2 linked regions of the Cricetulus griseus genome follow. Each later gene encodes a partner of the first gene's protein in a complex. Links are inferred from orthologs where the notes say so. Each region holds a gene or a part of one and is shown on either strand. Other genes may lie near its edges.

Region 1 (3,649 bases):
CAAGTGACATATTCAGCACATAGGCCACTATCACCTTTCCTCTGTCTATGATAATCAGTGTTTGCAGTGGGTGTCCCACACTAACTCAGTGCACACTAACCATGGCCTATGTGGCTGTCCAGCCACACACCATAGGGCTCAGTCAATAAAGCAGATGGACTTCTGGCATGGAAGGCTCTGAAATCCAGGAGCCTGAACAAAGTGCTATGTGCTGCTAACGGCTGGCTTTAGACAGAAATGGAGACATGAGTGGTAATCACAGCTTGCCACATTCACATGGGAATGAGTTTTTCTATGGCTCTGAATGAATCTGTTGGCTTCAGAAATATTCTCTCTCTTGATCCAGACATGGTGGCTCACACCTTTAATCCCGGCACTCAGAAGGCAGAGGCAGGCGGATCTCTGTGAGTTCGAGATTAGTCTGGTTTACAAAGTGAGTTGCAGGACAGCCAAGGATACACAGAGAAAAAACAAAAACAAAAAAAACAAAACAAAATTTACTTTCTGTCTTCTTCTCCCCTCTGTCTGCCTGTCTGTCTGTCTGTCTCTCTCTCTCTATCTGTGTGTGTGTGAGAGAAAGAGAGAGAGAGAGACGGAGAGAGAGACTGAGAGACAGAGACAGAGAGAGAGAGAGACTGAGCTGTTTTAACATGGTTTATGTGCCTTAAGTTACTAAGCAGTGATGGGAGGGGCTCCCTGACAGCATCCTACATACACCCTGCACATCTGCGAAACTGACCTCGAACTTGCCTTTCAAAGTCATTTCGCATCTTGGTCATCTCCTCAGCATGTTTCTGTACAAATGAAAAGGGGGTGTTACTAGAAAGCCAGACAGAGAGGCCCACGACCCTACTATGTGTGGGAAAACTCAGTTTAGTAACTCCTGTGCTGCTGCTACTTCCTGGACTCTCCTTACCGCCATATCATAGAATATGCCCAATGACACGGCTTGGAGAACCTCCACATTTCATACATAACTCACTTCCTTCAGGGGAGACACCTCTGAGTCTGACAGACAGTGCAGACATGAGCACTGTACAACCTTTCCAAAGCCAGAATCAGCAGTCACATCTACATGGAGCCTTACACAGCTCCTGCTAGCCTGCCTCACTATTGCTTAGAGCAGTACACACAGATGCTGATTATTCTGGTTTTTTGAGACAGGGTTTCTCTGTTTAGCACTAGCCATCCTGGAACTCGCTCCGTAGACCAGGCTGGCCTTCAATGCAGAGATCCACCTGCCTCTGCCTCTTTCTCCTGTGCACTACCACACCCAACTCAAAGATTATTTTAATGAGCAATTACATGCTACATTTTTAAATAAGATTTATTATCTAATTATTTGATTTTATGTGATCGAGTATTATGTCTATACCATCTGCATGCCTGGTGCTTATGGAGAAGAAGACATCATAACCTTTAGAACTGGAGTTATATACAGTTGTGAATCACCATATGGGTAATGGGAATTGAACTAGGGTCTTCTGTAAGAGCAACCAGTACTCTTTTTTCTTTTTTCTTCTTTTTTTTTTTTTTTTTTTTTTTTTTTGGTTTTTTGAGACAGGGTTTCTCTGTGGCTTTGGAGGCTGTCCTGGAACTAGCTCTTGTAGACCAGGCTGGTCTTGAACTCACAGAGATCCGCCTGCCTCTGCCTCCCGAGTGCTGGGATTAAAGGCAATGGCCACCACCGCCCGGCCGCAACCAGCACTCTTAAGCACTGAGCCAGCTCAGAGTTTTATTCTATGTGTATGGGTATTTTGCCTACATGCATACAATATGTGTGCCTGGGTGTTCACAGAATTCAGAAGAAGCTGTTGGATCCTCTAGAACTAGAATTACTGATGGTTGTGAGCTGCCATATGGGTGCTAGGAATTGAACCCAGGTCTTTAGAAGGATAGTCAGTGCTCTTAACTGCTAAGCCATTTCTTCTGCCCCTACATATTACAAATTTGAATAAAAGTTTTGCTAACTTATTTGTTAAAAACCACTAATCATTTTTGCACAAAAACACAAATCCCTAGATGTCAAAGACCTAGTTCTGGCATCTAGGTTCACTTTTCCATAGCATCAAACTACAGGCTGTACCTACCAGACGAAGGTTCTTTATCACCACCTCGTTAGCCAGCTCCTGCTCCTTGAGCTCCACTTTCAGTGCCCGCATGTCCTTTCTCAGTACACCCTCCTGCATGCGGTGCTCCTTCTGGGCCAGCTTCATGACCACAGTGCCCTCAGCCTTCACCTCGGCTAGGTTGTTCTGGTGCTCATACAACAGGTGCTTTACTTTCTGTTTGTACACCTGCAAAGAGCGTGGGGGTGGGGTGCCACATGCTCATCTGAAGCCCCAGTGCATGCCCAGCTCACAGGCAGCTAAGAGGCAGAACTGTAGAGGGCGGCCTGCTCATACTCCTGCCATTCACAGAGGCTGCAAATGAAATACTCAGAACTTGCAGGGTCTTTCCTGCTACTAGAATGAGACTGCTTTACCTTGTCCTCTTCAGAGACTGTTGGGAGGTTCTAACGGGAATACGGTGGACACTGTGGCAGGTCATTCAGTTATAAAACAATTTGAATAAAAATTAAAACCTCATATTCTTGTTTGTTTTGAAACAGGGTCTCCCATAGCCCAGGCTGACCTCAAACTATTTACATAACTAAAGTTGACCTTGAACTCCTGGTCCTCTTACATCTACCTCCCAAATGCTGGGATTACAGGCATGTACCACCATGCCTAGCTCTATGCTTTAAATACTTTCCAATTTTGCTTGGCTGAATTCATAGCAGTTCTTGGCACACTTGCACTTAGACCTTACCACAGTCTTCTTTCATCAGAGTAAGTGGTCCTCTTCCACAGACCACGCATGTAGCCATGCAGGAGGCTTTGGATACTCACCTAGTCCAGGTTAGTCAACAGAATCAACCCTGGTGATCAATGTGGTGACAAACGACACAGCCAAATCACCTTTGCAAACTTCCTTGGACTCTTTTTGAAAAATTGCCTCTTGTTCACAGTACAAAGAACATAAGCAAAGGAGTCTATTTCCAAAGAAGAACAGAAAATGTCCCCACCCAGCCTCCTTCCTGTGCTGCTGCACCATGACTCTGGTGGAGACAGACAGACCAACTCCACTCACCTTAATCTCCACCTGGTGCCTCTCCTCTGCCTCCTCCATCTCACGGTCTTTGTTTCGAAGCTCAGCCTTCTTTTCCTCCAGCTGCCTTCTTGTTATCTCCCAGAAGGTGTGGATTTTGTCACGTTCTAACTGAAAGTAGTTGCGCTCCTCTCGTTCTCGGTCCAGCTCTTCCCGGATACGCGAAACATGTTCCTCGACCTGACCAGGCACAGGGCATCAAATGAGGTACCCTGCAGGAGCCCATCTACCATCACAGTGTGTGGACCAAGGGAAGCAGGGAAGAAAAAGGGAGGGGCCATTTTACAAAAGTTAAAATACAAAGCAGGAAGGCTCCAGAGACAGTAAATAGCAAAAGTCTCTCAAAGTTGGCAAAGAATTACAAAACAATTTTATCTGTTCAGAAACTCCTGGATTCTTTTAAGAAATTTCTCAAGCCGGGCAATGATGACACATGCCTTTAATCGCAGTACTCGGGAGACAGAGGCAGGTGGATCTCTGTGAGTTCCAGGCCAGCCTG
Region 2 (4,316 bases), on another chromosome or scaffold:
AGCTGGTTCCTGGCCACTGTAATGTCCTATTACAGCCTTTCCCAGTGGGCCAGTGAGATGGCTCAGTTGGTAAAGGTGTTTGCTGCTAAGCCTGACAACCCAAGTTCAATCCTCAGAACCCTGTTGGTAGAAGGAGAGAACCAATTCCTGGGAGTTGTCCTCTAGCCTCTACGTGAACACCTTAGTATGCCACTGTCCAAATAAATAAATAAATAAATAAATACATACATACATACATACATACATACATATATATATATATATATATATATATATATATATATATGCAGTCTTTCCATGGACATCTGGCTTTGTGTTTTTCTTAGTGAGGATAAGCCATGGTAGTTTAAAGGAACCAAAGGTGCTCCAGGCTTAAGGGAATGGGATCTAGTTTCTGTAGGAGAGGGTTTAGAACCTTTTCCATTTCTTATTGTTCAGTGTTTAGAACAGTGGGACAATGGGGTTAACCCAGAATATAGATGTCCCCACGAGAGCTGTTCCTCAATGCTAAAGGCCACAATCCACACTTCTGATGAATTCTACTCCAAGTCGCTTTATTGCTAGGCCTCAGAAATTAGGGGCCAATGGCTTCAAAGTTCCAGGGGGTTGAGAGCAAACTGACGTAGTTGCTCCTTGTGCCTGGTGTGGAGTCTCAGCACAGCTGCATCCCACTGAGGCTTGGCAGCTCTCAGCTTGGCCAAGAGACAGTCCAGGCTGCCCTGTGAACAACAAGCTCTCAGTTCCCGGAGACAGGGAAGGGGGAATGTTGCCTTAGGTTGCCCAGCTTGGTTAGGAATAGTTCTTTGCCAATGGCTTCCCTTCCTTCCCTTTCCTTCCCTTCCCTTCCTTCCTTTCCCTTTCCTTCCCTTCTTCCTTTTCCTTTCCTTTCCTTTCCTTTCCTTCTCGTTTCCTTCCTTCCTTCCTTCCTTCCTTCCTTCCTTCTTTCCTTTCCTCCCTCCTTCCTTTCTTCTGTAAGATACCCTTGCTTTGTATCCTGGCTGGCTTTGAACTCAGAATTCTCCTGCCTCAGTTTCCCAAAGTACTGAATTGCAAGCATGAGCTACCTTTCCTGGCTGCCCATTATTCTCTCTCTCTTCAGCACTCAGGATGGAACTAAGGCCTCATACATGCTAGACAAGCACCCTGTCCACTGAGCTGTCCATCAAACCCTCTTTTTACCTTTTATTTTGAGGTGGAATCTCTTACTATACTGCCTAGACTGACCTTGAACTCTGTACCTAGGTTGGTCTTGATTGAACCTATGATCCTCCTGCCTCAGCCTCCTGAATAGTAGGATTACAAACCTGTGCTACTCCTTTTGTTCCCTGCTCCTCCTCCTCCCCATTCCTCTTCCTGCTCCCCTCCCCTCCCCTCTTTTGGGAAGGTTGAACCCATGGCCTTGCATACTAGTGAGAGCTCTACCATTGACCTATACTCACAGGCCCTGATTATTTTGGTCTAGGTCTCACTATGTAGCAGCTATATAGCAAGCACATTGTAGCCAGTGTTGACCTTGAACTTGAAATCTTCCTGCCTTAGCCACCCAAGTACTGGGATTATAAGTCACTGGCTCTGTCAATGGTTGTATCTTCTGTTTATACTTAGATGGCTCCCTTGGGTTGTGGGTCATCACACTAGTTGGGAGCATAGGGATGGAGGGTTATGGGATCCTGAGAAGATGGCTTCCAGGGGGTGGTGCTTACATGCAAGATTTCTTCATACTCGGCCTCCATGTTTGCCACGTGGGCACGAAGCTGAGACAGGGTTTCATCTTGCTCTCTGAGGGCTTGCTCAGCCTCTTCCCTTGCTGTCTTAGCCTCCTTTTGGCATGTTTCTAGGGTGCAGGGCAGAAAGATAAAGAGGACAGGATGGTGACACTACACCAAGAGCAGTAACCAACCTTGACAGAGTCATTACAGACTTTAGGGTCATCAACTTCCCCCAGGTCTATAAGGACTCACTGAGGTATGGCAGAGTGAGTAGAGGTCTTGAGACAGGAGACGGGTCCAAAGTCTGGTGATTGTTACATATACAGCATGGGACAAGTATCTCTGGGTCTCCATGACTTAAATGTTTGGCTTTGTTTTGTTTAAGACAGGGTCTTATGTAGCCCAGACTGGCCTTAAACTCCCCATGTAGCCAAGGACAACCTTGCACTCCAGATCGTCCTCCCTCTATCTCCCAGGGTTGGGATTATAGACTTGTGCCAACTAATGTGGTGCAGTTTCTCTATCTTTATACATATTTTTATTTTTAATTTTATATCTGGATTTTAAAAATAATTTTATTGGGATGGAGAGATGGCTCAGAGCACTGGCTGCTCTTCCAGAGGTTCTGAGTTGAACTCCTAGCACCCTCATGGTGGCTCACAACCATCTATAATGAGATCTGCTGCCCTCTTCTGGTGTGCAGGCATGCATGCAGGCAGAACACTATACTTAATAAATAAACTGTTAAAAAACTTTTATCCCTCCCCTCCCCCCCTCCCCATGTGTGTATATGTATGCAGGTGCCTGTGGAGGACAGATGAGGGCATTGGATTGGATCTCCTGAAACTGGAATTACAATGGTTGTAAGTCACCATGTGGGTGCTGGGAACAAAGCCAGGCCCTCAGGAAGAGCAGCCAGTGTTCATAATCATTGAACCCTTTCTCTAGCCCCTTCTTTATCTTTGGAGAGAAAATGATATACGTTCCTCTTGTTTGCTATGACTCTTAAATGTGAAAATGGATGACAAAACACCTAATGTAGCAGGTGTTCAATAAATGTTGAATTTTAATTTGAAAGAAGGCCAATGTTAGAGATGGAATCCCTGGCCTGTATAAGCAGTTCATGAATATTTATAGCGGAAACTGAAGATATTTTGGATGTGGTAGCTCACATCTGTAATCCTACAACTCAGGAGACTGAGGCTGGAGGATCACTGTGAGTTCGAGGCCACCTTGGGCTTTTTGAGGACTACAAAGAGTCAGGAGGGGATGGAGCAATGCCCAGTGTTTAAGAGCACCCAGGTTTTGTTCCCAGTGACTCAAAATCATCTTTAACTCCAGTTCCAGGGGATCTGATGCCCTCTTCTGACCTGTTTTCCTATTTAATTGGTATATTCACTGATTTAACAAGTAGTAATTTAAGGCCTTCTACCAGGTGCCCAAGTTTGAAGATACTAAAATAAATTAAGTCTACTGTTTTCTGTAGTTTGGTTGCAAAGGTCAGCTAAACTAACAAGAAATGTGTTTTGCTTAGGATGGACAAGGCAGTGAAGGGGGTAACTGCTGGGTTTGGGGAGATTAAGCAAAGGGGGAAAAGGGGTGAGAGTCCTACCTTTCCTTACTTCTATCTTGGAGGGCTTTTTATTTTATTTTTTTGAGTTATTTATTTTGTTATTTTATGTGTATGAGTGCTTTGCCTGCATGTATGTATGTGCATCCTGTGGGTGTCTGTGGAGGTCAGAAGAGGACTTTAATTAGATCCCCTATCACTTAGGTTACAGATGGTTTGTGAGCCACTATGAGGATGCTGGCTCAGGTTCTCTGTAAGAACAAGTGCTCTTAAGTACTGAGCAAACTCCCAGAGAGGCCAAGTCCAGCCCCTCACATAGGGGTTTGTGCCACTGAACTCTCAATTCAGAGAAAAGCTAGGGTGAAGGTGACCCTAGTTAAAATTCAACCAGAAGACTGTAGACAGCAAGTGAAGGACCTCCCAAGTCCACTCTTCCATGATTGTTTGTGAGCCTGGGGAATAAGAGTGAGCGATGGGGACTACCTAGCTGCTCCCGTAGGCTTCTCACTTCCTCCTCCAGCTGCTTGCTTCGGGTCCTCAACTCCTCTTGCAGGGCCCGGCGCTGGCGGCTCATCTCTGAGGTAGGAACCATAGGGATAGAGGCATGAAGAAAGGAAATGAGGTTGCATGTGGGGAAAAGTCTCACTCAAGGAACAGAACTAAGAAACTTGGGAGACCTTGAAAATTTGGGAGATTGGAAACCAGACGTCCCCCTACCCCACACATCAGCTTAAAAGTGGGGACCCTGGCCCTTCTTGCCACTTACTCCCAAAAATAAAGGTAAAGGGCCATGGCTACATTGTGTTTCACACAGATATCAAGCGTGCAGCATTAGACATTCTAGAATGTGGTAATCTGCATTCTGCCAGGGATCTGTCTTTGGTTCTCAGGACCCTGCCTATGCAGGGACAGCAGAGGGTAGGGTATGGCAGTTAGATTCCTCTTCATTTCCCTTCCTTGAATTCCCCAATTTTCATGGTTGTCCTCTTCCATGCCTTTGTCTCCTGCCCACCTGGCCAATCAAATCATACCTGCAT

Evidence for each region. Proteins that work in one complex are often made in the same cells at the same time.
Region 2: Gas8 (region 1) and Ccdc153 share a complex: the UniProt entries of both Homo sapiens proteins name them as parts of the nexin-dynein regulatory complex. The link is inferred for Cricetulus griseus from reciprocal best matches to the Homo sapiens genes DRC4 and DRC12.

What each region holds. Positions count from the first base shown.
Region 1 is NC_048596.1:200,177,082-200,180,730, reverse strand, and holds part of Gas8 (dynein regulatory complex subunit 4), read right to left. Parts: intron 3,377-3,649; exon of another isoform or gene 3,331-3,376; coding exon 3,133-3,330; intron 2,298-3,132; coding exon 2,091-2,297; intron 795-2,090; coding exon 740-794; intron 1-739. UniProt on the Homo sapiens protein: Component of the nexin-dynein regulatory complex (N-DRC), a key regulator of ciliary/flagellar motility which maintains the alignment and integrity of the distal axoneme and regulates microtubule sliding in motile axonemes.
Region 2 is NC_048597.1:155,930,788-155,935,103, reverse strand, and holds the end of Ccdc153 (coiled-coil domain-containing protein 153), read right to left. Parts: coding exon 4,311-4,316; intron 3,856-4,310; coding exon 3,763-3,855; intron 1,835-3,762; coding exon 1,704-1,834; intron 720-1,703; coding exon 591-719; 3' UTR 534-590; downstream 1-533. UniProt on the Homo sapiens protein: Component of the nexin-dynein regulatory complex (N-DRC), a key regulator of ciliary/flagellar motility which maintains the alignment and integrity of the distal axoneme and regulates microtubule sliding in motile axonemes.